Callithrix jacchus: one gene and its partners. The main gene of each other region encodes a partner of the protein of the gene in region 4 in a complex. Links are inferred from orthologs where the notes say so. Each region holds a gene or a part of one and is shown on either strand. Other genes may lie near its edges.

The links.
Region 1: the proteins of AP3M1 (region 4) and LAMP1 are in contact, whole or in part, in a cryo-EM structure (PDB 9C5A), measured with the Homo sapiens proteins. The link is inferred for Callithrix jacchus from reciprocal best matches to the Homo sapiens genes AP3M1 and LAMP1. Residues at the interface, in NP_001307192.1 of Homo sapiens: Glu178, Tyr180, Phe181, Asp182, Gln381, Val389, Asn390, Arg391, Leu392, Phe402, Lys403, Gly404, Val405, Lys406; in NP_005552.3 of Homo sapiens: Ser410, His411, Gly413, Tyr414, Gln415, Thr416, Ile417.
Region 2: the proteins of AP3M1 (region 4) and AP3B1 are in contact, whole or in part, in a cryo-EM structure (PDB 9C5A), measured with the Homo sapiens proteins. The link is inferred for Callithrix jacchus from reciprocal best matches to the Homo sapiens genes AP3M1 and AP3B1. Residues at the interface, in NP_001307192.1 of Homo sapiens: Met1, Phe15, Leu16, Glu17, Trp20, Lys21, Ser22, Val23, Gln26, Val42, Glu43, Asn44, Val45, Pro46, Pro47, Val48, Ser50, Tyr55, Ser58, Ile59, Tyr60, Gln71, Thr72, Glu73, Val74, Pro75, Pro76, Leu77, Phe78, Ile80; in NP_003655.3 of Homo sapiens: Leu60, Lys64, Val67, Gly68, Ile70, Ala71, Lys72, Gly73, Ile92, Glu93, Lys96, Leu97, Val100, Arg104, Glu107, Asn128, Gln129, Leu130, Arg137, Arg143, Ser163, Pro164, Tyr165, Lys168, Asn169, His172, Gln175, Lys176, Leu202, Ser206.
Region 3: the proteins of AP3M1 (region 4) and AP3D1 are in contact, whole or in part, in a cryo-EM structure (PDB 9C5C), measured with the Homo sapiens proteins. The link is inferred for Callithrix jacchus from reciprocal best matches to the Homo sapiens genes AP3M1 and AP3D1. Residues at the interface, in NP_001307192.1 of Homo sapiens: Ser25, Ser27, Asp30, Tyr31, Glu34, Pro52, Asp104; in NP_003929.4 of Homo sapiens: Lys29, Glu388, Gly389, Thr390, Thr391, Arg393, Glu429, Arg432.

Annotation. Positions count from the first base shown.
Region 1 is NC_133502.1:28,765,977-28,773,479, reverse strand, and holds part of LAMP1 (lysosome-associated membrane glycoprotein 1), read right to left. Parts: intron 2,230-7,503; coding exon 2,042-2,229; intron 1,176-2,041; coding exon 1,050-1,175; intron 308-1,049; coding exon 241-307; intron 162-240; coding exon 1-161. UniProt on the Homo sapiens protein: Lysosomal membrane glycoprotein which plays an important role in lysosome biogenesis, lysosomal pH regulation, autophagy and cholesterol homeostasis.
Region 2 is NC_133503.1:132,754,788-132,762,902, reverse strand, and holds the start of AP3B1 (AP-3 complex subunit beta-1), read right to left. Parts: upstream 4,860-8,115; 5' UTR 4,741-4,859; coding exon 4,613-4,740; intron 1-4,612. UniProt on the Homo sapiens protein: Subunit of non-clathrin- and clathrin-associated adaptor protein complex 3 (AP-3) that plays a role in protein sorting in the late-Golgi/trans-Golgi network (TGN) and/or endosomes.
Region 3 is NC_133523.1:1,990,462-1,997,966, forward strand, and holds part of AP3D1 (AP-3 complex subunit delta-1), read right to left. Parts: coding exon 7,489-7,505; intron 6,800-7,488; coding exon 6,724-6,799; intron 6,612-6,723; coding exon 6,412-6,611; intron 6,001-6,411; coding exon 5,927-6,000; intron 5,305-5,926; coding exon 5,124-5,304; intron 4,150-5,123; coding exon 4,078-4,149; intron 3,692-4,077; coding exon 3,584-3,691; intron 2,289-3,583; coding exon 2,130-2,288; intron 1,786-2,129; coding exon 1,738-1,785; intron 1,381-1,737; coding exon 1,191-1,380; intron 737-1,190; coding exon 648-736; intron 495-647; coding exon 409-494; intron 1-408. UniProt on the Homo sapiens protein: Part of the AP-3 complex, an adaptor-related complex which is not clathrin-associated. The complex is associated with the Golgi region as well as more peripheral structures.
Region 4 is NC_133513.1:56,081,255-56,087,449, reverse strand, and holds part of AP3M1 (AP-3 complex subunit mu-1), read right to left. Parts: intron 4,432-6,195; coding exon 4,224-4,431; exon of another isoform or gene 4,202-4,223; intron 2,632-4,201; coding exon 2,487-2,631; intron 2,025-2,486; coding exon 1,924-2,024; 3' UTR 1-1,923. UniProt on the Homo sapiens protein: Part of the AP-3 complex, an adaptor-related complex which is not clathrin-associated. The complex is associated with the Golgi region as well as more peripheral structures.

The DNA of each region.
Region 1 (7,503 bases), on a different chromosome or scaffold from region 4:
CTGGTCACCGTCCACCTTGAAAGCCTGGACCCAGACTTTGAATATGTTGACGGAAAGCGCCTTGGTGACGCGGACGCGCTCCTCGGCGTTGCACCTGTAGGAGTTGCCAACGGTGGCCTGCAGCGCTCTCAGGGAGTTGTTGGAGGCTTTAAATGTGGGGTCTGCAACACACACACAAGTCAAGTAACTCCGGGGCACTCTGGGTGGGGAGCAGGGGCTCCAGAGATTGTGGGTTCTCACCTCTGGCGTCAGGAAGAGTTGTATTCAACTGGATTCCTTGTAGGAAAAAACGGCTAGAACTTGCATTCTTAAAAAGAAAGATGATCTTTAACCACTGAGTAGACTCGAACATCTATCATTAAACTTGAAAGGTCATTTGGTAAAAAATTTGACTTCCCATGTTTCTAGTTTTTGAACAAAACTACAGAATATCCTGTCTATAAAAGGCCAGTGAATTCCAGTTAGTTCCTTCCACGCCCTTTTCTGAGAGTCTTGCTCTGTCGCCCAGGCTGGAGTACAACGGTGTGATCATGGCTCACTGCAACCTCAACTCCTGGGCTCAAGCGATCGTTTTATCACTTGTGGAGACAGAGCCTCCCTGTGCGGCCAGGCTGGTCCTTCCAGACCTCTTCATAGAGTTAGAGTCTCTGAGAAGCGGGGCCTGCAGGAGCTCTTACGGCACAGGAAAGCATGATTTGGAAAGTTCAAATGGTAGGAAACTGAACTGCTAATTCATCTGCACAGCGACTTAAAAAGATTGACAAGTGACATTTATATTCTTCCTAACTGTGTTGCTCACTGCACAGGAGTGCTCCAGGCAGAAAGGCCACCCCGTGGCTGTAGGGCAGCAGCGTCTGAGGCCAGAAGGCCTCGTGGCCTCACAGCAGCAGCCTTACCCCTGCAGCCACCCCACTGTGGGCACGGCAGCCCCGCCCAAATCGATTACTGAGTAACCAGGATTTTAAAAAGGCAGGAAAAAGTGAGGCTGCCTTGTTCCTAATTCTGCTACCCATGAGCAGACCCAGGGCACAAGGGACACCCGGCCTCACCATCCCAAACTGGAACAGCAGGACCGTGCCACCCTCATCGCGCAGCTCCAGGGTCACCAGGTGGGTGCCACAGCTCCCGGTGGCCAAGGTCTTGTTGGGGTTGATGTTGAGAAGTTTTGTCACCGTCTGTAAGACAACCAAGCAAGTCATCACCCCAGCCAGGTCCTCCAGATGCTCAAAAAAAGAAAAACAGTCCTGAAACCATGAATTCAAGGCCACATTTGTTTTAACCAAAACGAGAAGGAAGCACTGTAAGTCCACACTGGTACAGATTTCAGGATCCCAAGATGACTCCTGGCCACTGTGACAGCTGCTTTCAGAGTGTGGCGTCCCTGCGTGGATGGCACCAACCAGCACCACCTCCCCCTGCAGCCGTCAACCCTGCAAACTCGCCCCCACAAACCCATAGCCTGTCACTATTAGGGGAGAAAAACTATTTCAAAAGAAAAGTATAAATATGTAACACTTAAATGTCTCAATGATAAACATGTAAAGAAACCTTATCTTCTATCGGGGGCCACGTGAATGTTTTCAGGCTCCATGGGCCACACTGCTCCGCATGCCTGCTGGGACAGCAGCCTTGGACAATAGAACCAGCAGGACAACTGTGTGCCTACAAGATGGACTCACTGACACAGACACCCCAGCTCTTGTCCTAGAGGGTCCCATCCTGCAAGCTGAGCTCCCATCCCCACTTAAAGCATGACCTGCAGAGATGTGCACTCTCAGTACACAGGGAGCAGAGGTCCCGGCCCTACAGAGGCCTGCTGTTCCCCCTCAGGTGAGGCCCACCCTACAGCTCTGTCCCCCTCTCTCAGGTGAGGTCCCGGCCCTACAAAGGCCTGCTGTTCCCCCTCAGGTGAGGCCCACCCTACAGTGCTGTCCCCCTCTCTCAGGTGAGGTCCCGGCCCTACAGAGGCCTGCTGCTCCCCCTCAGGTGAGGCCCACCCTACAGCGCTGTCCCCTTCTCTCAGGTGAGGCCCCGGCCCTACCGTGTTGTCCTTCCTCTCGTAGGTGAGGTTCAGCTGCAGCCCCATGCTGGCCAGTAGGCAGGTCCCGTTGGTGCCGTTCACACTGTACTTGTTCACAGAGGGGCTCTCCGGCATGGGTGAGGGCGAGGGGCTGGGTGGTGCGGGCGGCGCTGTGGTCGGGGAAGGCCCGTCTTGTTCACAGCGCGTCTCTGCAGGAACAGTGGAGGGAATCCAGGTCTGGGTTTCTCATCATCAGCAGTTACAGTAAGATCCAAACTCAGAAACCAAACTGACAAGGTGGCTCTCACTAATGCCTTTCTAGACGTACAGGACAGAGCTGAGTCCTGCAGACAGCAGATGGCTCAGGCTTGCAGGGCACCCTCAGCCTCCAGCTCCCACTACCCAGAATGCCCCATGGCTGGACAGTGTCCACTGTGCCACCCTCTTCCTAAAGTGAGGGTGAGAGGGCCTTGAACGCTGTCACAAAGGAGTGAACATAGGAGGCTGTGCTGTGTGGCTGGCCACGCCACCTCACCCCTCCCCACCCCATGGGAAATGGTGATAACTCAGTCACTGCTCCCTGAACTATCAAATGGGTGCCAGTATTGTGCTGGAAACACCACCCAGAAGAAAAGAGGGTCCACGGCGCACACAGCCCGGCCAGGTGGGACGCAGAGCAGCCAAGGAGGCCCTCTGGCAGGACAGGGGTCAGGTGGCTCTGTGAGGACCCCATGTGTGAGCAGAGACGCAAAGGTGGGCAAGGCTAGCCAGCTGCCTTGGGTTTTCATCTGGGGAGGGGGCAGTGGTGGGGATGGACAAGCATCCTCACTAGGGAGAAAGCAGCAAGTGTGGGTGCATCCTGGACAGGAGGGCGCAGTCCAGGGAGTCTGTGGAGAGGGGCCATGTGGCACCCCAAGGAGACTGAGACGTCCAGGGAGTCTGTGGAGAGGGGCCACGTAGTACCCCGAGGACACTGAGTGGTTCAGGGAGTCTGTGGAGAGGATCCACGTGGCACCCCAAGGACAGTGAGTGGTCCAGGGAGTCTGTGGAGAGGATCCATGTGGCACCCCGAGGACAGTGAGTGGTCCAGGGAGTCTGTGGAGAGGATCCATGTGGCACCCCGAGGACAGTGAGTGGTCCAGGGAGTCTGGAGAGGATCCATGTGGCACCCCGAGGACAGTGAGTGATCCAGGGAGTCTGTGGAGAGGGGCCACGTGGCACCCCGAGGACACTGAGCAGTCTGAATGTGACTGTCCCTCAGCATCTAACCCACCAAGATGTTCACAACACACATTTATATTGAAAGTCAAGGCAGACTGAACTCGAGGTAGAGCTCTGCCGACTCTTCTGTGGCTGATACTCACAGCCACACACCATCAACCTTGAAATTAGGTTCTTTCTTTTACCACCTTGTTTCTGTGAGCACTCAAAAACAGGATTTATATAATTTCTACCCAATTCGATCTTTTCCACATCTCCACTAGGCTGAGTCGGCACAAGTGAGCCCCAAATATCCAGGTGGGCAACCCTGTGGGGGATCTGCCGCCTGTGACTCCATCGGCCACTTGTTGGTTCTGCTTCCATCTCAACTTTCAGCGACCAATTCCCAGCTTCACATCCCCTCTGCCTGGGGGAGGGGAGAGCCAGGACCCTTCGCCTACAACTGTACCCCAAGTGGTTCTGAGACACACAACTCAGGAGTCCCCCACGCCCCGGTGTAAAAGCCCTTTCTGGACAGAGCAGAAGATGGCAGAGAGGAGCTACGGTAACCACACCAAGCTCTGAAGTGACAGGCACCACGGCCACCGGGAGCCGTCCCAACCCAGGATGTGCTCACAGACCTCGCTCACTCCTTTCCAAAACAGCCTCAGCTGCCAGGCACAGTGGCTCATGCCTACAATCCCAGCGCTTTCAGAGGCCAAGGAGGAAGGACTGCCTGAGCCCAGGAGTTCAAGACCAGACCCCATCTCCACAAATTTTTTTGTTTTTAAATTAGCCAGGGCCAGGCGCAGGGGCTCACGCCTGTAATCTCAGCACTTTGAGAGGTCGAGGCAGGTGGATCATGAGGTCAGAAGTTCAAGACCAGCCTGGCCAAGATGGTGAAACCCCATCTCTACTAAAAATACAAAAATTAGCCAGGCACAGTGGCAGGTGCCTGTAATCCCAGCTACTCAGGAGGCTGAGGCAGGAGAATCACTTGAACCCAGTGTGGGTGGGGTGGAGGTTGTTGTGAGCCAAGATCACATCATTGCATTCCAGCCTAGGCAACAGAGTGAAACTGTTTCAAATAAAAATAAAAATAAAAAATTAGCCAGGCATGGTGGCATGTGCCTGTAGTCCCAGCGATTCAGAAGGCTAACTTGGGACGGTCACTTGAGCCTGGGAAGCTGAGGCTGCAGTGAGCTTGACTGTGCCACAGCCTGGGAGACAGAGCAAAGACCCTGCCTCAAAACCAAAAAAAGCAGCTTCACTGCTCCTTTATAAAATGTTACAGAACACAGCTAAACAGGCAAAAGTTAATGTGCAAAACCGGCCAGTCTAGATGGCCACACAACGCAGGAAAAAAGCATCACCTACGCTGCTCTGACAATGTTTAACGTGTGATCCACATTCGTTTATCACCTTGTTTCTGTAAAGTGGTCACAAGAAGTCAGGCTGGAAACACCATGCCTAATCACCAGTTTAGAAAGTCAGAACTTGAGGAATAAGTGTGGAAAATGTCCTCTTCCTTCTACCCGAATTACAAATGCAAACCCACATTCTCCTTCCTTGATCACATACAAAACACCAAGGTCCATCCAGCAGAGGACACGGAGGGAGAGATCATCACAGAACACACTGCCCGGGGAGAGATGGTGGTGCAGGAGCCTCTGGGGAGCCCTGAGAATCAGGAGGCCAGGGGCACACCTCCCCCACCCCCTCCGGAGAGCAGCGGGCAGCAGGGTCCTCCCAGACTCTGCTGTCTTTCCAAAGCCCACGTGCTCTGAAGGCCTCTCCTCATCTCCGGGCAGCAGCAGACACTCACACCCACCTGCATGCTGCAATTCAGGGCCTCAAGGGTGTATGTGAGATTAGAATGATTTCACCCACACCCTCTGTTACAGTCTTCAGTTATAATGCTGGGTGTGTCAGGCCTCGGGGCAGGCCTGACTGCCTCCCGCCCCTTTCACCTGTCCTAAGGCAGGACTCTCATCTTCCCCGCCTTTCTGATAGGTTTTTTTTTTTGAGATGGAGTCTCCCTCTGCCGCCCAGGCTGGAGTGCAGGGGCGCCATCTCTGCTCACTGCAACCTCCACCTCCCAGGTTCAAGTGATACTCCTGTCTCAGCCTCCAGAGTAGCTGGGGCTCCAGGTGTGCACCACCACGCCTGGCTAATTTTTGCATTCTTAGTAGAGACGGGGTTTTGCCATGTTGGCCAGGTTGGACTCCAACTCCTAGGCTCAAGTGATCCACCCACCTCAGTCTCCCAAACTGCTGGGATTACAGGTTTGAGTACCTGGTGAGGCCTGACTATAGGCCTTAAGACCCGCAGATAGGGTCCTGCCCTACCCACTAGGAGAAGAAACGCTGAGGTCATGAAGCTCCCACAGAAGCCCAAGAGGACTGGGTTTGGGAAGATCAAAATCCGCTTACCCCAGGGAGGTTCCTGGAGGGTGGCGCCCTGGAACGAGAAGGCATGGAAGCGCAGTGTCCGTGTCCCTCCCCATACCTCGGCCCCCGTGTCTCTTCCTCTGTGTCCTTTCCACTATCATTTATAATAAACCCATAAATGTTTCCCTGAGTTCTGTGAGCCACTGCAGCAAATTAATCAAACCCAAGAGGGGGTCACGAGAGCCCCAACTTGAAGCTGGTGGGTCAGAAGTTCCGGAGGCCCAGATTTCCGACTGGACTGGGGGTGGGGGGGAAGGCACTCTTGGGGAGGGAGCCCTCTTCCTGTGGGACCTGACCTTTCTCCGGGCAGATAGGTTAGAACTGAATCAGAGGACACCCAGCTGGTGTCCACTGCTTGGTGTGTGGGGAAAAGCTTGACCACATGTGGTCACAGAGGCCGTCTGTGTTGATGATGGCTGCTGGAAAGAGGCAGTTAGAGAGCTTTCCCTACACAAAAGGGTGAGATGTTTCACCATGGCTTCCCTCCATTTAAGCTGGGATTACAGGCATAAGCCACCCCACCCCCGGCCACATCAGCCCTACTTTTAAGATCCTCGGGAGAGAAGGTACAAAGTCCATTCAAAGATGGCTTGTGCTTTATTTCCTCTAAAAGTACAATCTGTGAGGTCCCCAAGCTTTCTTAGACAAGACGACGTGATGAACTGAAAGGCACGATGAATGAGGCCTTCTGGTCACAGAAAGTAAGTATTTTAGACTTTGTGGGCTGTGGCTCTCTGTGAAGACAACACAGCCCTGTCACTGCTCATGCACACGCAGCCACAGATACTGTGTAAATAAATGACTGTGGCTGGGCTCCGAGAGAACTTCATTTATAGACACTGAATTTTACACCATTTTCATGTGTCAAGAAATACTCTTTCAGATTTTTGGTATGTTAAGTTTATAAACATAAAACCCATTCTTAGCTCATGGGCCCTATGGAAACCGGAGGTGGGCAGGACCAACCCAGGACAGTGAGGGGCCGACCTGCAGGGGTCCTGGCTCTTCTGGGAGGGGTATGACAGGACGATACCCCCCCCCCCGCCCCAGCCCCCGACCCCAGCCCGGAGCCCAGCAGTCACTCCTCGGCCTCAAGCGAGAATGCTGAGGAATGCTGCAAACCAAAGGTCCCAAGATGAGAGAAGGCTGTCATGTCTCCATACATACTCCTACCAGCCAGGAGCCACCCTAAGGCAAAGTACAGGCACTCAAGTTTCAGCTAAATGACAATGACCTATGACCTATGACCTTCCTGGACTGCGGCTCGGGAGAGAAGCTCAACAGTAACAGGATTTACCAGGTGTTTGCCACTTGCTCTGTGCCAGATGCTGAGATACACACTCTGCATACATTTCCCTTTTAATTCTATCAACCTTCTAAGAAAGGCTTTTAATCTCATCCCACATGCAAAGAAACTGAGAAGTTAACTACCCTGCCCAAGATCTTGGGGCTAGGTGGCCTGGACCCTGCCTGACCCCAGAGCCCGGCGGCTGGATTAGCAGGTGCATCACTGCAGCCCTGACCTCCTCAGAGAGGCAGTGCTGGTCTTTCTGCACGTGTCCCTGAGCTGGCCGGCCAGAGCTGGATGGAGAGTAACACCAGGTTTCTGTGCGAAGGCAACTGGCTCAAACTGAGAGATCTGTGACCCTGACCCCATCATCTCTGGCCCAGTGAAGGCACAAAGGTTTCAACTGCTTTGCCCTTCTAACATTTTCAAGTCATAATTGTACGTATTTACCATGTGCGTCATGTTTTGAAATACATCTACCTGTGTGACAGCTAAAATCAAATACTTATCTTTTTATGGTGAGAAAAATCAAGATCTACTTAGCA
Region 2 (8,115 bases), on a different chromosome or scaffold from region 4:
TTGAAGGACACCATCTTCCACGATCCTCATAAAAGAGGCAAGTATTGGCCAGGAGCGGTGGCTCAAGCCTGTAATCCCAGCACTTTGGGAGGCCAAGGTGGGTGGATCACGAGGGCATGAGATCGAGACCATCCTGGTCAACATGGTGAAACCCATCTCTACTAAAAATACAAAAAATTAGCTGGGCATGGTGGCGTATCCCAGCTACTCAGGAGGCTGAGGCAGGAGAATTGCCTGGACCCAGGAGGCGGAGGTTGCGGTGAGCCGAGATAGTGCCATTGCACTCCAGTCTGGGTAACGAGAGCGAAACTCCATCTCAAAAAAAAAAAAAGAGGCAAGTATTATTACATTCTGCATAGAAATAAGGAAACTGAGGTTTGAATACGTCAGCAACTTGAACAAAGAAGCACTACTACAAGTGGAAAACACCAGCTTAAATCCAGGTCTTCTGACTCTGGGTCCAATGATTTTTGGGTTTTCCCCCCCATTTTTATTTATAGAGAAAAGGTCTCACTACGTTGCCCAGGCTGGTCTGGAACTCTGGGGTTTTCAAGCAGTCCTCCTGCCTGGGCCTTCTAAAATGCTAAGATTACAGGTGTGGGCCACCATTCCAGCTTCAGTGTTCTTTCTAATACACCATGATGCTCTCAAAAGAAGAGAGATTTACAAATTTAGTAGCTTTACTATTGTAATTAAGAAAAATTAATTAGTCTTGTCTGTTTCTGGAAATTAATTCCTAATTAAATTTTTAATTCAGTAATAGAATTATTAAAATTATTTTTAATTATATACACACAAACCCAAATTGGTTAAAAGAAGTTTTTTTAAAAAGAAAAATAACTTAGAAAAAAACAGAAACAATAAAAGCTGAGAACATTCTAAAAAGAAAGAAGTGGCCAGGCACAGTGGTACATGCCTATAATCCCAGCACTTTGGGAGGATGAGGCATTCAGATTGCTCAAGCCCAGGAGTTCGAGACTAGCCTGGGCAACATGGCAAGACCCCATCTCTACAAGAAATACAAAAATAAGCTGGGCATGGTGGCATGCACCTGTAGTCCCAGCTACTCAGAAGGCTGTGGTGGGAAAGCTCACTTGAGCCAAGGAGGCTGAGGCTGCAGTGAGCCATGATCATACCACTGCACTCCAGCCAAGGCAACAGAGCAAAACATATCTCAAAAACTAAAACCTAAGAGTACAAAAATAAGTTCTTTACATTTTAAATAGAGAAATTAAAAATCTTGAAGCCAATAATCTAATACACAGGCCTTTTTAGCCAACAAATTAGGTATAGGATCTCCTTTCATAAAGCCATCTAATTCTGGTTCTGTTTGAAGGGGGGCGAAAGGATAAATAATACTGATAAATAAGATTAAATTCAGAAAACAAAAATCACCAATAATACCATGACTAGGAAGTACTTTGGCATCACTGAGATGGTTAGTGAAGGATCAGAGAACACAGCTGTAGGTCAAAAAGCCAAAGAGCAGGGCAGTAGAGGGACTTAGAGAGATGAAACATTACCATTTTGCAGCCATGGTGCAAAAGACAGGTTCAGGAGATTGATCAACGGTTGTTAAATGCACAGGTGGTCAATTTAATAAGGAGCAAGACATCTGCATGGTCTCAGTGTCTCCCCACACATAATTTGAAAAAAAAAATAGCAATAATACAATAGAGAAACTAGACAACCCTGTGACTAGGAAAATTAACATCATGAAGATGGACACCCTATGCCTTCAAATGTAATAGTTTGAAAAGCAGGTATCACCTATGGTAGTATTCCGGCCAAGGATACATAGAGCCTGAATCTAAATAGAGGAAACACCAGCAAGCCCAAACTGATTCACATAGAATAAAATAATTGACTTCCTTAGATATGTCAAGGTCATGAAAGACAAAAAAGGCTAAGGAACTATTCTAGATTAAAGAAGATTAAAGAGACATGGCAACTAAATTAAATATATTATCTTGGACTAGATCCTGTACTTGAGGGAAAAAATGCTGGGGAAAAAGAAAAACTTTATTAGAACAAATGATTACATACGATTGTATGGGCATTAAACTTCCTGAATGCATCAACACTGCAGTTGTATAAGAGAATATCTTTGTTCTTAAAAATTACACAGTAAGATTTTAAAGTGTAAAAGAACACGATGTGTACAACCGAAGTTGTCCAATAGTTCCAAAGACATAATAACATGAATGTGTATGTGCCTGTATATGCATGGAGAGAGTGAGGACAGAGTGCTACAAAGCAAGCAGTGTAGCAATTTTTTTAATGATAAACCTGCAAAAGGGTAGCTCTCTGTGCTACTGTTGCAACTTTTTTGTAAACTTGATCAGAGTAAACCATGAAAAATAAGAGCTGAGGAACAGGGTAAGCTTTAAGTTTTTCACATAAATTTTGTCATTCGATTTTTTCTTAAAGGCAAATAATATTACAGTTTTATAAATGAGAAAATGTGGACTCAAGAGAGATTGAATGACCACTTTCAGAACAGAGGTCTCCTTGTTTCTGTACAATTCCATTAGATTTCAGTTCAATAGCCAAATGTTTCTAATCCCTGGAAGCTTCTCTGGTGGTACTACTTAAAGCTACTGTCTAAAGTTTCAAACTTTTTGTGAGTTGCATGCACTCACTAATAAAAATACCATAACTTTCATCAAGTAGTAAGTAGCACATCTAAACACTTGAGAGAATGGGCTCTAATACTGGAGCCCCTGGGTTCAAATTCAGGCAGTGTAATGTTCTAGCTTTCACAAGTTAACGACCATGCTAACTTCATGTGTAAAATGGGAGCAGAGAAGTACCTGGTAATAACCTGCAGGGCTGTTACGAAGACTGAATCAGACAATAAATATAAATCGGTGTGCACAAATGCACAAACACTCAATAAATATCTTTTGAGGAACACAATTCAATCATGGTAATTTGCATATATTACATATCATTACATATCACCCCTAATCAATTAACTACTTTTATATTAAACCCAAACTGTTAGGTCACCCTCAAGACCACTGGTCACAGAGTCAAGGCCATACATTGTTTGTTTTTTGTTTTTTTCCCCCCAAATTAGGTCCAAATCAGACAAAAATATTTTTCCTTTTTTTTTTTTTGAGATGGAGTCTCTGTCGCCCAGGTCAGAGGGCTGAGGCACCATGTCGGCTCACTGCAGCTTCCACCTTCCAGGTTCAAGGATTCTCCTGACTCAGCCTCCTGAGTAGCTGAAACTACATGAGCCCGCCACCACACCCAGCTAATTTTTGGATTGTTAGTAGAGACCGGGTTTTACCATGTTGGCCATGCTGGTCTCCAACTCCTTGGCTTCAAGTGATCCTCCCGCCTCACCTCCCAAAGTGCTGGGATTTACAAATCACAGAAGTAAATTGATTTGCAAAATAGATTAATGCCGATTTACAGGTTAATTCGGTCTAAACATTTTGCTAATACAACTGTAGAGGCAACAAGCTCCATGCTAGAATAATGGATTATCTATCCAGTGCACATAATGCAAAACAAAACCAGTTACCTTACTTTTAAACTTTTCTAACCTAGAAGACAGTAACACTCAAAAGATTGTATCTTACATGCTATATATATATATTATTTCGATCATCAATACAACCAAAATGTAATCCTAATTTCAACTAGTAGTACTTTCTAGACCACCGAATAGTAACGTTTAATTTAAATTTTAATTATACCCTCTAATATACCTGCAAAGCTACCAGCACAGTTATTTTACCTTAATTTAGCAACAGACTATTATGTGACCCATATTGCTTAGTAATGAAAGATTTAAAATAAGAGAAACGCAATAAAATATAAACAAAGTTACCAGGATTCTGGTAAATGTAACCGCTACCACCACCAATACCACCATCCCACCCTCCCACCCCAAAAAAAATCAACTTGGGATTTCCTTCCATTTCTCGGTGGTACTTTTTACAAAACTAAGTGTACCTTGTTTAACATTCGTATTTAAAATTCACGTTATTAATTTGTAAAAGTTTAGGATTTGTTCCAAGTTAATACTCCTTCTAAATATTTTCTATTCATATGCTTATTTTGGATTGGTGTTTTTGACTGTAGTGCAAAGGATACTGCCCAAGAACATTAATACTGGTATAAACCAGTTTGTCCATTCCAACAGCCCAAATCCACCTCTCTGCTCCTATACTCCGGGGCCACAAAATAACTCCCACAAGCAACACTCGCACTCACTTTCACCAAAATCCTCGTTTCACCCTAATCAGGGAATTTATCAATGAAACTAGAAAACTATGCTCAAAATTCAAACTCCTGAGCCCAGTCAAGTCCAATTCAATCAGCGTCTTCGGGGGGGGGGGGGGTCTAAGCTCACCAGGTGGTTTTCTTTTCTCTAAGAAAACTACTAGAGACCCCTACAAACACTCGCCCCAAACTCCTACAACTCCCACCACCGCCAACCAACCCCATCCACCCACCCGCGGGACAAGTTGCCGCCCCGCTCCGCTCAGGTCTCTGGGCGACCCCGCTCCTCTCCAGGGAGCCCCACCCCGGTGCCGACTCCTCGGAGTCCCCAGCTCCTCCCTCCCATCCCCACACCCCAAACCTTTCTCCTTACTTCTTCAAATCGCTGCTAAAAAGGCCGAAGGCGCCCGAGGGGGAAATGGCTGAGGTCGCCTCCTGACCCAGCTCCGCCGCCTCTCCTCCTCCGGACTGCTCATTGTAAGATAAACTGTTGCTGGACATTGCCGTGGTGCTGGCGGGTGCGGGGTTGGTCCAGCCGGGGGTCGTCTCCAAAAGGTTCCAGTCCAGACGGCAAGGAACAAAACTAGTTCCCCTACTGAGAGACGCGCGCAGGCGCTTCCGGACTCGTCACGGCTCCCTGAGCCGACCTGGCCGTGCACCCCCTGCGCATGCGCAGTATGCGGGCCGTCCGGCTCCTACCCGGGCCGTCCAAGCCTGCGCGAACTTTCCTGCTCCGGGTTTTAGAGGTAGCTGAGCGGCCGCGAGCCTGCCCGCGGGAAGGGAGGTAGCGGGGGCGAACGGCCCGGCTCCCGACCCTTAAGTGGTGTTGTAGGTGAAGGTAACCCTTTGCATCCATTTTGATCCCTTAAGGAGTTTCCAGAGCCCGGACAGCTCTTTGCTAGACCTCTGTAAAGCAATAGTTTTCTGTTTTCTCCGGAAACGCCATTTACCACGCCAGATCAACTTTCCTAAACCCTTCGCTATCACTTTTCCTTTTCTTGCTTGTTTCGGCTACTTTTCTCCATCCGGCGTTGCCTTACTTTCCCATCCGCCGCAGGCAACTTTTCTCCTAGACTTTAAGGAGGACTCCCCCAACGATAGTTTGGAGGATCCGCAGAGAAACGACCATTCCATCTTTGCAACGAAAATCTTGGAGGCAGACTGGGCGCGGTGGCTCACAACAGTAATTCCAGCACTTTGGGAGGCCGAGGCGGGTGGATCACTTGAGGCCAGGAGCTCGAGACCAGCCTGGGCAACATAGCGAGCCCCTGTCTCTGCAAAAAATATAAAAATTAGCCGGCGTGGTGGCGCGCGCCTGTGGTCCCAGCTACTGAGGCTGAGGTGGGAGGATCGCTCGAATCCAAGAGGCGGAGGTAGCGATGAGTTGAGATCGCGCCACTGCACTCCAGCCTGGGCGACCGCGCGAGACCCTGTCTCAAAAAAAAAAAAAAAAAAGGAAGAAAAAGAAAAGAAAACATCTCGGGGCCTCCAGTTCCCGTATGGGAATTCCACAGACGCTGAAGTGGTGCGTCCTGCTAGCATCTAGCTACCAAAAAATGAAAAAAACAAAAAATTTTGAGGCCACCAGTTTCCGTTTGGAGCTGAAGTGGTGCGCCCTACTGCCGTCTAGCTACCAAAAATAAAATTGACCAACTCGCGCGCCAGGCACAGCTGTCTTCTACAACTTCTTCCAGTGTCCTGTCCCCTTACTGTCACTCACTAAGATGCACTAGCAAGCCCAGGCAGCCCCGGAGTAGCTCTCTCCGGGTGCTGGCAGCCGGAAAAACCTCCTTCCAGGAGTGCCTACCCCCAGCCCGCCTTCTCCTGTGAGTTTCAGCGCCTTCCCTCTCTTCTCCCCACTGCCTCCCGTCCAGGCAGGCGTTAACACCCAAAGTCATGGAAGCCAGGTACTGAAACTGTCAAGGGATTCTACCAGGTAGAACGCTATCCTTAAAGGCCGGCTGCTTCTGGGAAGGCGGTGGGCGTTTTCAAGAATCAGAATGTGCTCTCCAAGTGTAAAAGGACACACTGTCACTGTGAAAGCACGCACGAGCGTGGCTCTGGGTGGGAGAGGAAGGAACGTCCTCCAAACTTCGTCTTGTCAAATCTTGGCAGGTTTTTAATTCAGCGGTTAGAATACCTCCGGAGATGCAACGATGAGCACCTAAAATGTGTTGTTTGTCTATATTAATGATATTAATTAAAAGAATTTCACCTATAACAGACTATTGATGATCATCATCATAACTATATATTATATAATGCTTCATATATATCAGGCACATATATAAAAACTAAGTAATTTTATATATATTAATAAAAGGAGCTAGGCTTTGGTTACTTTATTTGTAAAATGAAGACATTGATATACACATATCCTGGAAAATCTCTGATACGTACCTGATTATAGAATTTCTTGGTTTTGGAGTATGTGTACTTTTACCAGATATCCTAAATATTTTTCCAGCATACTTTTGGCGATGTGTAATCTTCTTCCTTCACATTCTCACAAACGATTAGCTTTCTAAAAATGTTTTATTGTCATCAATATAAAACGAATATTATTTATGTTGTAATTAATTTTCATTTTCATGATCATAATGAAATTGAGAATATTTTATGTCATTATTACTCCATTTGCATTTTATTCCCTGGGAACTGTACATGAACCTATTTATCCGCTTTCATGTTGCGTAGTTTTTACGATGGACTTGAATAGTTCTTTATCCTCGAGTCTGTCATTTTTAATTAACTGTTTGATTCTATTTTACAATATTTTTATTTTTTCATGCAGACTCAGGTACGAGATTGACCTACAATATTGGAGTTTTTGATTGGGGGGTTTGTTTTCGGGGGGTTGGTTTGTTTTTACATTGTCCTTGAATGGTGTGGATATTAACAATGTCTATTTCTCAAAAAAGAGTTAGGGGTAACTTTCTTTTTCTCTGGAATATTACATATAAGATACAAAGCATATATTCCTGGAGGAAATAGATAAAACTTTCTTTTTATGACTAAAAAGAAAATGAGAGCATTGACAAGAAGGGACTTGGGTCCCTTACTGCCTTAAAATTCTAAGACTGTATATTCTTAGAGAAAGATAAAAAATAATAACTCCATAGGCTATAGTCTAACGTTTCCATATCTCCAGAATTGAAAAATCTCTTAGATAGCCATGAAGTTTTCTGACAGGGGAAAAAAAGTCCACACACTTCCAACCAGAAGAAACATTAACAGAACTAAAAGATTACTCTTTGACACCTGTTACCAAGCCAAACCAGATTTTTCTGTTTCCTGCCAGCATATGTAGTGTCTTGCATAAGCTATGTCTTTTTCAAAAACTATTTTACCCCCAGCACTTCACAAAACCTTTATCAAATTTTCTGTTTCAGTTTCTGTTCATCTAACCCTCATGATAGCAGGTGTTAAGTGTGGTGTATATATTTTCAGGCTTTTTTTCTCTAAGCATAGAAAAATAAATATTGAATGTGCATATTTCTACAAATACCAATTAAAACTATAATACCATTCGGCATCTTACTGCTTCTCATTGTTTTAAACATCTACATAGTATTACATTCCACAGGTGCACCTGTATTTATTTAATCAATAGCCTATTGATACACATGTAGACTGTTTCCAGTTCTGGACCATTATAACAACTCTCAGTGCAGGTCTTTACACCAACTCTGTCAGTACATGTCTTTATACCAATGTTCCATTAGCTAAGCTTCCAAAAGTCCAATAGCTAGAACAGATTATATGCACACTTTTTATAGATATTGCCAGATTTCTAAACTGAAAAGAGAATACCAGCTTCTTCACCAATATTCTGTTTCAAGACAACCTTACCACCAAAGTATATTATAAATCTTT
Region 3 (7,505 bases), on a different chromosome or scaffold from region 4:
TAAAGAGGTCACAGAGGTGCCTGAAGCCATGGGGTGGGCCTCTTCCAATATGGACGGATGTCCTTTAGGAAGAGACGGGACGCAGGCCTGCGAGAATGCAGGGGGCAGACAGTGCCGCATGCCAAGCCCAGGAGAAGCCTCAGGAGGAGCCCACCTTGCCAGCTCCTTGGTCTCAGCCCTCCAGGCTCTGGGACTGCCAGGAGCCAAGGCCTCTCTGGGTGACGCCTCCCTGCCTGTGGTTTCAATTACTCTGCCCCAGCTGGCACAGATGCCAGGCAGCCTGACCTGCACTGACCACCTCGAAAACCATCTCTAAAGTCCTGCCCAGAAGCCTCAGGCCCTGGGGCACAGGCGGAGGGGAGGCGGAGGCAGAGCGGGGCGGTGGCGGTGGGCGGTGGCAGGGCCCACCTGTAGCAGGGCGTGGTGACCAAGTACGAGCTGCAGCTGAAGTGCAACCTGAAGTCCAGCTTCTCCTGGGTCGCACCCTCGTCATTCTGCCGTGGAGCAAAAGCAGCGCAGCTGAGTGGGGAGTCGGGCCCAGCTCAGGCAGGTGGCCCACTTCCCATCGGGACACTGGGACACCCACTGGGATGGGGCAGAAGCCCCAGCCTGCAGAGCCTCCCCGACGCCGAGTGGAGCCTGCACACCTTGGCGATGAAGGACAGGGTCCCCTTGAGCTTCTGCGCCGTGACGACGCTCTGGATAGTGAACACGAACTGGGCTTCGTTGGAGACGCCTGGCAGGGGTGAGAGGGAGGGGACCTGAGATGCAGCCGGGGCTCAGCATGGGTGGGGCCCCTGTGTGTGTCCTCAGTCCTGAGTCCTCTGTGGCTGATCAGGAAGCTGGGCTCAGACCCCAAGGGAGCACCATGGGACAGAAGCAGAAACAAGAGTACTGGTGTCCCCAGTTTGGCCTGAACCTGGTCCCATGCCCATTTCACAAAGGGAAGATGCAGCCACTGGAGCCACAGAACCCAGGAAGGCCCCAGCCCACAGTCCAGCCCTCAGGGCTCTGGCCATGTCGATCCAAGGCCACCGCACTTCTCAGAGCTGTGGCAAGACCCCGACATTCAGGAGGCACTAGGGTGCAGCCTGGGGACCTAGGGGACGTAGGGGGGTAGCAACAAGAACAGCAGATCCCACCAAGCTCCCACAATCCCCAGGGGAGGCCGTGAGCAGGGCGAGGCTCACCTGGGGGCAGCTGGAAAGGCACAGGGACGCCATCGTGGACGGAGGAGCCCTGCGGCCGGGCCATCCTGGCATTGAGTGAGTCCAGCACGCTGAGCTCCATGCCCTTGAGGACACTGTTGCTCCGGTTCTCCAGCACGATGGCCACAGTGACCTGGCTGTCCTCCTGCAGGCTGCCCCGAACGTCACAGGTCTGCGGGCACAGCCAGTGTCAGCAGGGCAGGTGGGCCACCCGCAGGGAACAGGCACAGGCTCCTGCCTCTCAACGGCCATGGAAGCACAGACCAGGGCCCCCCAGCCTCAGCCGGAGTGCCTCCCGTGGCTGCTCTGTGACACATGGCAGGGACCCTCAAACCAGCCCAGGCCTCAGGGCATGTCTTCCACCTCACCTGAGCCAGAGGGGCTGCCAAGCAATGCCCCCGCAGGGATCTCGCTCCCTGGGCACACCAGCATGCAGGACTTGGGGACCTTGCCAGGTTCTGCACAGTCCCACGCCAAAGAGCATGCGCTGGCCAGCCCTGCCCCAGGGAACGGAGCAGCCGCCACTCACCATTTTAATGTAGGAATTTTCAGCAAGGAGGGAGTAGCTGGACTCAGGCTGGAGAGAAAAAAGTCACATCAGCCTCAAAGGCCAGGCCCTGGGCTCTGTCGCAACAAAAACTCCAGTGCTGCCCAATACCCCAGGTCAAACGCCACGACTCCAAGAACGCTTGGGGCGAGGGGGCTTCAGAGGGGCCTGTGAGGGATCCCTGGCTCCCAGGACCACACAGCCCACCACGGGGGTGCTGAATGTGGGGCCGCGGGACCAAGCCAGGCCCAACCAGCTCAGCTTCTTCTGGAATCTGCTCCCTTCTCTCCCGCACGGAGGCAGCAGGAGTGCGGAGCAGCCCGCAGCCCGCCAGGAGCCCTGGCGCGGGGCGGGGGCGCTGAAGTACCCCTCACCGGGAGCGGCTCCTCCTCTGGCGCGCCGTTCTGCACCGGCTCCCGCGCCGCCTCCCCTGCCGCCTCCTCACTGCCCGGAGGCTGCTTCTTGGACTTCTTGCCCTTGGTGCGCTCCTCCTTCTCCTTCTTGTGCTTCTTCTTCCTAGGCTTGGGGGATTTCTGGAGCAGGAGGAGGGGCCGTGTCAGTTCCCAAGCCGCTCTCGTGCGTCCTGCTCACAACACGAGGTGGGAGCCACAGGCCGGGCTGCTCAGGCTGAGGGTCCCACATGCCTGGGTGGGGTGGCAGGACCAGCCCCGCCTCAGGCCTACCGGGGCCCAGCCCAGGCCAGACCCAGCTTAACAGAGGCCATGCTGTCCCTAATTGGCAGCAGGCTGGCCAAAGCAGCTCAGGGAACAGTCCCGGCTGACCAGGGAGCCACGCGGGGCAAACTGGCGAGGACACCAGACCTGATGCAGCAACCCATGCCCACGTACACACCCGAGAGGGAACACACACATCCACACACACTGCACGATCGTTCAAAGCAGCCCAAGTGGCGGAGGAATGGGGTCAGCACAGCGTGGCCTCGCCACACACTGAAACACGACCCAGCCACGAACAGGAACCAGGCTCTGACTCAAGCCCCATCGTGGACGCACTCTGAGGACATCATGCTCAGTGAGACATCAGACCCCAAAGGCCACACAGCGAATAATCCCATTTCTATGAAACATCCGTCCGCAAAGACAGGACGGGGAAGTGTGAGTGCCAGGGCTGGGAAAGGAATGAGGAGTGACGGCTGGAAGGAATGGGGCTTCTTTAGGGGTGATGGAAAGTTCTGGAACTAGAAAGAGTTGATGCTAGTTCACAACTCAATCTATGGAAAACCACCATACACATACTTTAAATGAGTAAACTCTATTAGACCTGTGAATCACGTGTGAATAAGGTTATTAAAAGGCTGGGTGCAGTGGCTCATGCCTGTAATCCCAGCACTTTGGGAGGCTGAGGCGGGCAGATTGCCTGAGGTCAGGAGTTCGAGACCAGCCTGGGCAACACAGTGAAACCCCGTCTCTACTAAAATACAAAAAATGAGCTGGGTGTGGTGGCGTGTGCCTGTAATCCCAGCTACTTGGGAGGCTGAGGCAGGAGAATCGCTTGAACTTGTGAGGCAGAGGTTGCGGTGAGCGGAGATTGTGCCACTGCACTCCAGCCTGGGCAACACAGTGAGACTATCTCCCCCTCACACACACACAAAAGCACCAAAAAGAAGTGGTTATTAAAAAAAGAGAACAAAAGTTGCGGACTCAGCCTCAGAGCGCAGAACCACACGCACAAAAGGCCCACGAGATCACCCACGCAAAGGCCAGGGTAGGGCTGCCCTGGGATCTGGGAGGCGGAAGCCGTGTGCAGCCCCACCTGGGGGTGCTGGGCTCATCCGGCCCTCCACAGCCCCCGGGGGCAACAGCCTCACCTTGTCCTGCTCTTGCCCCTCAGCACCGTCCTCTTCACCCTGCGCCTCCGTCTTGGTGTCTTCACACTCGTCTTTCGAGGCAGTGACGGGGTTCACACCGGCCTCCTCCTGCAGGGAGTCGGGACTCGGGGCTCACGATGGGCAAGGAGGGGACCCTCCACTGCACCCCAGGCAGCCTCCCACACCACACCCTCGGCTCACCCTCACCCCAGGCCAGTCCCGTGCCCCCACCCCACCTGAGAGGCCAAGATGCCCTCCAAGTGACAGGGAGCCCGCAGGTGCAGAGGCCCTGGCTGACCTTCCCTTCCCCTGGCCCCTGCTTGGCCCATCAGAACCCGGAAGTGTGACCCCGGCTGCACCCAGCTCAGGTTCCACAGGTGGGCGGTGCTGACTTTGAAGGCACAGGGCTTCAAGAGACCCGGGCTCCGCCCTGAGTGCCCGCATGACCTCTGGAGACACCCAAAGCCAGCACCAGCCAGCTGCCCATCTCTTACCGTGGAGGGAACAGGGGCAGGGGCGGGGGCAGGCGGTGGGGTGGTAGATAGCCAGAAGTCCAGGTCCGCAGCCTGAAACCACAAGACAGGCTGTCCGCAAATGCAGCGCATGGTCCTGGGAAGGGGGGCCGGGAATGGCAGGCCCCATCTGCCCTTGCTGGCCCCCAGGGCCCTGGACTAGCTGGGCCTTGCGAAGCCTGGGAATCCAGGAGCTGATGGCAACATCCTCAGCCGGCCCTACTGGCTCTGGCTGTCGCTGCCAGAAGGCAGCCAGGGACAGATCTGTGCATGGGTATGCGCCATCCCAGTGGTCAGAAGGCTTGTATCCAGCGAGGCCCTCTGATGTGGGTGTGGAAAGGGCCCCAGGCCCTGAGAACATGTGCTCCTTTGAAAAATCCATTTTTAGCCGGGGGTGGTGACTCACGCCTATAATCCTAGCACTTTGGGAGGCTGGGGTGGGCAGATCACCTGAGGTCAGGAGTTCGAGACCAGCCTGACCAACATGGAGAAACCCTGTCTCTACTAAAAATACAAAATTAGCCAAGCGTGGTGGTGCACGCCTGTAATACCAGCTACTCAGCAGGCTGAGGCAGGAGAACCACTTGACCCCGGGAGGCAGAGGCTGCAGGGAGCCGGGATGGTGCCACTGCACTCCAGCCTGGGCTACAAGAGCGAAACTCCATCTTAAAAAAAAGAAAAATCCATTTCTTTCTCTATGTGAAACTCTGCACACAGACGCTGCAGAATTGGTTCTGGAGCCGCATGTGAGGGCAACGTCTCAACCACGCTGAGCTCTGAACAGGGGTGAGGACAGGGCTCACCCACCGGACCATCGGGTCCTCGGGTCTCCCCCGACACAAGCACACAGGCAGCTCCCCTCTGACGCCACTTCTGCACTCCACCAGGCCGCAGAGCGAGGAGGCTGGCGCTCGCTGCCTCAGACTCACGGCCATTTCCCCGGAGCGGCCCACTGTCCCCAGCCAGTCTGTGAGTTCAGGGCAAGGGAGGGGAATGGAAGAGGATGCTGCCCTGGGCACGGGCCTTACCTTCTTCTCCTTCTCCTTCTTCTTTTCCTTGTCTCTCCCTTTCTCTTTGTGCTTCTTCTCTTTCTTCTTGGGTTTCTTGCTCTTCTTTTCTGCCACGGGAACGTCCTCCTTCTCAGGGGATTTTGATGTCTCCGCATTTCTGTGTTTCTGGATAGGCAGCTTCTCGCTGTCGGCTAAGGGCCTGGAGAGGGGATGGCCGGGGCACACATCAGCATCACTGGCCATGCCCCAGGTCTGCTGAGTACGTGATGTGTCCAAGCGCATGCCCAGGACATCCCAGGCCACGCAGTGCAAGACCTGCTCCTCCCGCCCCTGGCCCCCAGCCATGGCCTGAAAAGGATCTGCCCAACACCGCCTGCTGAGGCTGCCATGGGAGGGTCTGTGGTGGCCACACCCTGCCCCGTCACGACCTAGACACCTCAGAACCCATACTTAGGGTCTTGGTTGGGAAGGCCAGCCAAGAGCAGTGCAGTGAGGACGTTGCCTGGGGAAGGCCCGCGAGCACCCCATGCCAGCCTGCCCCCCACCTCCAGAGCCCCACCCCACTCACACCCCACCCCCCCATCCCGCCCACCCTCCAGAGCCCCACCCACCCACACCCCACCCCCCCACCCTCCAGAGCCCCACCCCTCACACCCCACCCCCCCCAGCCCGCCCACCCTCCAGAGCCCCACCCCAGCCCGCCCCAGCCCTCCCCAGCCTGCCCACTCTGTGAAGCGAGGCTCTGCTCAGCAGGCAGGACAGGAGGAAGGGAAGCAACCAGCTGTGGCCTCCACCCTCATCTTGAACCCACATGGACTCACTTATCAAGGTCAATGTCCAAAGCCCTGTAGGGGTCATTGGGGTCTTTGTCATCTTCGTCACTGGGCAGAGCGTTCTGACAGGAAGAGGGGAACTCCATCAGTGACACCCGCCCTGCGGCCTGGCAGACCCCATCTACCTCGGACCCAGTGGGACTGCCTGAGACAACCAGGGCCACGCCCACGAGGACCACACAGGCAGGTGGGCGGCAACGTGGCTCTACCCCAGAGGCTCCAATCAGCATCCAGACACCAAGGGCAGCCGGGCCCAAGGAAGCAGCAGACCAGCATCTGCCGCTGAAGCTGCCGGCCCAGGGCAGGTGAGTGCTGGGCCGGGTGAGTGGGGGCATGCACTGGAGGACAGAGAGGCCTCTGTTCTATGCTCTCTGGGGCGGGGAAGACCTCGGGGAGAGGCCGCTGTGCACAGCCCCAGTGACATGTGTGCTGAAAGGTGGGCGCCCCCGGGCTGGGCCGTCCAGCGAGCTGACCTCCGGCATCTCCTCGGTGACGATGTCCACCTGCTGGGCGGGGGCGATGTCCTCGTCACTCTCCGTGGGCAGTGAGCCATGGCGGCGCTTGCCCTTCTTCTCCTTCTCCTTGCGCTTCTTCCTCCTCTTGTCCTTCTCCAGCTTCTGCTGATGCCGCCGCTCCTCCTCCAGCTTAACGTACTGGTCCGACATGGGCAGTCCTGCAGGCAGGCGGGCCCTCAACACTGCGCCCCGGGAGCTCACAGAGAGCGCGGCAGGAACACCCCACGGCCCATGTGACAAGTGCGCCCCTGTAACACTGGAGACACTTGCCTGGAACCTTCAAAGGGACGGAGAGGTCGATCTGCACCACGGGAATGTGCTCCACACCCGGCGTGTCTTGGTACCGCTGCAAAAGCAATGTCCAGGCGTGACCACGAGCCTCCCAGCCCGGCAGCCTCAGGAACCAGGGGTCCTGCCGCAGCCCCAGGCTTCAAGGAGCGCCGTGAGCAAACGCATCCCGAGGACCCAACTCCTAGACAGTGAGGGCTGGAAAGCTGGTCACTCGAGTGACCCTGTAGGCCTACTGCACAGGGAGAAGCAAATCCTTGTCCTTTTTTTTTTGACAGAGTCTTGCTCTGTCACCCAGGCTGGAGCACAGTGGCATCATCTCGGCTGACTGCAACCTCTGCCTTCCGGGTTCAAGTGATTTTCCTGTCTCAGCCTCCCGAGTAGCTGCAAGTACAGGAGTGCGCCACTGCGCTGGCCGCAAATCCTCGTCCACTTTCTCTCCTCAAATGAGGAAAATAATGTGGCCTCAAGCCCAAAGTGAGGCAGCAGCTCGCCCACAATGGTGTGCATCAGGGCCGGACGGCAGCTGGGTGCTGAAAACACGAAGTGGGGACCCCGGACTGGAGGCCTCCAATAAACAGGACCCACAGGGAGGCACTGCTCCTCCAAGGCTCCTCATGGTTACTGCACATCCCCAGCTCCACGCCCAGGATCTGCCTGGGGAGCCTGAAACTCAGCGGGATGCTGCGGGGCATGGACGGTGAGGATAGAGGGTGCTGAGGGACAGAGCCCGGGGACCTGCCTCACCTTCTGTGGTGACGGCG
Region 4 (6,195 bases):
CTACTTGGACATTTTAGTAGAAATTGCTAGAGGGAAGGAGCTCCTGGCATACATTCTAGTTGGACAGAAGAGAAGATAGCACAGGAGGAGAACTGGACAGTCCAAGTATAGACTGTTGAGATTAGGGATTCAGCAGAAGGAAAAGCAAAGGTTCTCATTGTTCTTTTGAGGTACAAACTCTGAGGAGTCAACATTAAAAACAAAAAGCAATTGAACTTAGGAAAAAGGAATAAATATTTGGCAACATTTTGACTTTAATTGCCAATCTGAGATTAGTTTCTCTAGAAATTTAGAAGCTGCAAAACGTGGCCTTTCTTATTCCATGAAAGGCAGGGTGGGTATCATGGGCAGGCAAAGGTAAGAAAACTGCTCAGTGGGCTCCTTGTACCAGCACCAACCAGTAGCCCTCAACAACATAGATAGGATGAGTGTAAGGGCTATCCTAGCGTAAGGGAAATACAGTTATAAGCTGAGAAGACTGAAAGAAGAAAAGAATGGAGCCACAAAGAGAAGAGAAAATAGCATAAATAATAAGGAAACATGAAGAACAAGCACTTATAGCTTAACTTTCAGGCTTTCTCCATTTCTTGATGTCTAATGAGGCAAAATAACTGGATAAGGACTACCAAGATGAAGAACTTAAATGAAATGACACAATGAAGTTGAGTGCAATTATACAACTGTTGACTGACTTTCCAAAACCATGGTGATCCGTACAGTATCATCAATGTTACCAAGGATTTTGTTTCTGCCTCATTATAACGCACTTCCATGCATTTTGTCAGTATAGTAGGTACATTTAAGCACTCCAGTGACAATTATGACAATAGTTTCTGGAAGAAATCTGACTATAGCTTTGGGAAGCACACAATATTAATTTCCCCTAAAGACAAGGAATATAAGCAAATTCAACCCCTTAACAACAAAAATAAAAGATTTAAAAAGACTGATGACAGTGAGGCAGGCAGATTTTCCTCCTTTTGCTGAACCGGGGGATGAGACATTTAGGTTAACTATGATTTAACTGGTGTTGGGTAAGGTTTATAAAACATGAAGATGGCAAAGTTTCACTTAAGTTTTTCTTTTACTACTTTAATTTGCTTAAAAGCACAAATGCTTGTGCTTGCAGTAACTTCCTAAAAGCATAAATAATGTTCCCTTTTACTACCTTAATAAAGCATTTGCCCCTTTGATACAAATGATTTTTTTACTGTGCTAGCAGCTGAACTAGTGGCACAAAACTGAGATGGTATTTACTGCAGCAAGGTCCCTGTAAATCAAATTCTAAGCTTTACATAAAAATCTTATTTATAAAAAATACAATACCAAGTACAGTGAGAATGGAGCATGGAGCAGCAGTGTTCCCTGCCAGGGCCATGTGGAAGTGGCTTTTGCTACAGTGCTTGCTTAATGGCACAAGTGAAAAGCTGAATAAGGCAAACACTTGAAGAGGCAGTTTTCTGTAAACTTCTGGGGGTGGGGAGAATTTCCTCTCTTGGGACAGATACTGGTTTGGGATGGCTAAGATCAGAAGGTGTGGTATTTGGCTGCATCTGACACATCACAGATTAAGATAGCTTCTGCTGGAGGAGACAGTTAACTCCTTTTAGGAGAGAGGTATAACTTTCTGCCTTTACTCTTACAATGTGCAGCCTTTAGATGGTACCCTCCTATGGAAAAAAAATTACCTCCAAAAATTTCCTAAGTGAAAAGATACAAAATAAGCTAAGTCACTAAAAGGTTTCCTTAGCTTAAAGCTCCTTAAGAATTCTACACTGATAACTAAGCAACTTTGTTAGCGGTGTGTAGCTAGTCACAAATGCTTTAACTAGAATATGTATTCCCACCCACTTGGTATCTAATAGTAATACATTGTAATGACACTTGGAAGACAAACTGGTCTTGAGGAATTTTGGCCTCTTCTTATGTTCTCACTTGGAACTTTCCAGCTTTCGTGACGTATTTGACTCCTTTAAATGGCTTATATTTCTCCCCATACATGTCCAAACGGTTTACTTTTAAGCCTGTGTCAAAAAGAGTGAAAAAGAATAAATTATCATGATCTCAACCAATATAATGTTAGCAATGAGCATGGTAAATCTGACATTAACCAGTGTCCCTTCTACCATTTGGAAGAAACATCTCTTTTACCATTTACAAATTATTGCACTTGATGGGATGGTTTTGGTTAAGCATACCACATAGGCAGGGAATGTCTGTGAAGTATAACTCTACTTTCTGTAAATATGAACAACTCCCTCTTTGGTGCTTGAATGAGGGCAGAGGTAAGGGGAGGCTGTGTGAAACAAGGCGCTCTCCAAAATCATTTGGTTGGTGCCTGAGAGACTGGTCTCCCAAGCACAGTGCAAAAGGCAAATGGGCTGTTGCTCTTTCTAGAGTGGGAAATTTTGTTACCCTTTTAAGTGCCTAATAATTGAGCTTGTAAAACTCAATTACCCTTAACTACAAGTGAGCCTTACTCTTACCTGAAATAGCAAGCTGCTGGATCTTAAACTGTATGTTGAGGCTCGGATTCTCTTCTGGTTTGGGGGCTCCAGACTGTAAATTTACCAGTCCTTTAAGACTTGGGAGCTTCTGTGGAGTAATTTTTCCCACATCCCATGTTAGTACCTTGGAAAGACAAAAAAAATGATGAACGAATGGAACTATCTATTAAAGACAAACCCTCAAAAAGAAGGTTTAAAGACACCATAAACTTCTGTACAAAATGAAGTGCAGTCTATTGAAAACAAGGTATCTGGGATCTACAATGAGTTTACTTCTGATTAGCTCTGTGACTTTGAATGGGAAGTGAGAGCAGAGAATCCACATTTGTTGAGCATTTTCTTTTGTATTAGCACTGTGCTTAGCACTATTCATATGTTGTCTCATTGAGGGCTGTGAAGTAGCTTTTGTCTTCTATTTACAAATGAGGAAATTAAGGGTCAGAGATCAAATGACTTGCTCAAAGCCACAGAGCTAGTCAGAGGAAAGGCTGGGATTTGCACCTAAGACCCTCTGATTTCAAATGTTCTCCATCATACCATCTTTACTACTTTTCTCTGGGCCTGTTAATTTTTCTGTAAAATCATTAGATTGACTTGAGATGGTGTTTTAAAAACTTTAGCTGTGCAACCCATTGTTCAAATGAAATCTTTAGTGTGGAGGCTCAACAGCAAATGAGAAAAAAGCAAAGCTGTCATAGTTGAAGCTGCGGTAAAGGGCCAGGAAACTGAAACTTTCCTTCTCAGCCCTGTGTGGTGTCCAGGAGGAGGTCCTTTGAATCCTTGCAACCACATTAAATAATCTTTAACATTCTATGACATTATTCAAAAAATGTGTCTTTTCATTTATCAGGCACCGCAATGACTCTGGTATTGAAAACAATCATATTTACTACCTAAGCAGGAAGCTGGGAGAAAATAATCTGCTACAGTTTCTCTAAAAACCCTCTGCTATAGGAAAATGTAAGTAAGGTGAGCATCTTTCCTAGCCCCAAGAAAGAGTATGAAGTGATGCTTTTAAATTAAAAAGAAAAAGGTCTTAATGATCAATTTACATAGAAAACTTAATAATTCATAGACCATAATTCTTTTATCTACATAATGTTTTCTCTTTTTAAAAAAGCTTTTACTGGCTGGGTGAGGTGGCTCACGCATGTAATCCCATTACTTTGGGAGGCCGAGGTGGGCAGTCAGGAGGTCGAGACCAGGCTGACCAACATGGTGAAACCCTGTCTCTACTAAAAATACAAAAAAATTAGCTGGGCGTGGTGGTGCTTGCCTGTAATCCCAGCTACTCAAGAGGCTTTGTGGTAGGAGAATCACTTGAACGTGGGAAGCGGAAGTTGCAGTGAGCTAAGATCACGCTATTGCACTCCAGCCTGGGCAATAAGAGCAAGACTCTTGTCTCAAAAAAAAAAAACAAAACAAAAAAAACTTTTACTTCTTTCTTATTAGATAGCAGAATGAGGCTCTGGATTAATAATGGATGAGTGAAGACACACTCTGAAAAAGGACAGAACAACTCGCTTTTCTGTTCATCTACTTGGTGCAGGATTCCCTTTGTAGCCAGTGGCAGAAGCACAGTACAGTATGCTCTCCAGGTTTTGATACAAACTTTAGTTTTAAACAAGGTGCTAAACCTTTCCCCCCACCCCTCCCCCCAAATCACAAAATAGATTGCAGAAACACTTGCTCACTCTTGATTTGAAGTGGCTGTACCTTGGTGACTGGATCAAATGTATAGCTGCCTTGTGTGGGTGTCAGGTTCATGTTCAGCACAACTTTTGGCATGTGAACTGTCACTGTAATTCCTTCAATAGTTTTCCCCATATTCTGCTTTGGTCCAATTGTTATATCAAATCTGCCACAAGAACTGTTCTCCTTAAAGCTGATACTATGTTTCACATACACTGGTATTGCCACTAGACTAAAAAGAGAAACAGAGAAAGACACAAAAGCACAAATACAATTAATGGTGTGGGGACAGCTCCAGAGGTATCCTGAAAACCTCTGTACAGAGTATCCTATCCTCCCTTTAACTCCACAGTAAGGCTCTTCAGAGTTGGCTCTCTGAAGCCACAGTTCTGCATCCTTGAATTTGACCAGCTAAGAACTGAAAATATCACTTTAAAAAATCAGCCAGGCATGGTGACTCACACCCGTAATCCCAGCACTTTGGGAGGCCAAGACGGCAGGAATAACCTGAGGTCAGGAGTTTGAAAGTAGCCTGGCCAACATGGTGAAACCTTATCTCTACAAAAATACAAATATTACCCGGGGCCAGGTGTGGTGCCCCTGCAATCTCAGTACTTTGGAAGGCCTAGGTGAGTGGATCACCTGAGGTCAGGAGTTTGAGACCAGCCTGGCTAACATGGTGAAACCCCGTCTCTACTAAAAATACAAAAATTAGCTGGGCAGGGTGGCACGTGCCTATAGTTCCAGCTAATTGGGAGGCTGAGGCAGGAGAATCACTTGAACCTAGGAGGCGGAGGTTGCAGTGAGCTGTGATCAAGCCATTGCACTCCAGCCTCAGCAACAAGAGCAAAACTCCATCTCAAAAAAAAAAAAAAAAAATTAGCCGGGAGTGGTTGTGAGTGCCTGTAATCGCAGATACTTGGGAGGCTGAGGCAGGAGAACTGCTTGAACCCAGGAGGTGGAGGGTGCTGTGAGCTGACTGAGCCACTGCATTCCAGCCTGAGCGACAATAGTGAAACTGCATCTCAAAAAAAGCCCCCCAAAACAAGAAACAATTGGGGCAAATGGTCCTAGTTTAAAAAATGAATTACAATTCAATGGAAAAATAGTGTAAAATACATATATATGTGTGTGTGTGTATTTTTTTTTGAGACAAAGTCTCACCCTGTCACCCAGGCTGGAGTACAATGGCGTGATCTTGGCTCACTGCAAGCTCTGCCTTCTGGGTTGAAGCAATTCTCCTGAGTCAGCCTCCAGAGTAGTGGGGATTACAGGCACCTGCCACCACGCCCAGCTAATTTTTGTATTTTTAGTAGAGATGGGGTTTCACCATGTTGGCCAGGCTGATTTCAAACTCCTGACCCCAGGTGATCTGCCCACCTCGGCCTCCGAAAGTGATGGGATTACAGGTGTGAGCCATTCACTGTGCCTGGCCTAAAATATGTTTTATATAATTGAAACAGTTCCTATGTCATAAGAGCTAAGAAATGATTTCTCTGCTTTTGAATCTTGTCATGATGTAAATCAAATAATTTCTGGTATTTTCAAGAAACAAACTAGCTATAACTATGACCCTCAATGCTAAGTGGTTTTTCTTTTTGAGATGGAGTTTCACCCTGTTGGTCAGGCTGGAATGCAGTGGCATGATATGTCACTGCAACCTCTGCCTCCCAGGTTCAAGTGATTCTCATGTCTCAGCCTCCCAAGTTGTTGAGATTGTAGGCATATGCTACCACTCCTTACTAATTTTATATTTTTAGTAGAGACGGGGTTTCACCATGTTGACCAGACTGGTCTAGAACTCCTGACCTCAAGTGATCTGCCCACCTTGGCCTTCCAAAGTGTTGGGATTACAGGAGTAAACCACAGCTCCCAGCCCCCAATGCTAAACAGTTCCTTTAAAACTCAATGCAGAGAAGAGTGACTTGAGGCAGTAAGTTGGGGAATGTCCTTATGAGCTACAGGTAGGTCTGTCTCCTTCTGTTAGCTACAAAGT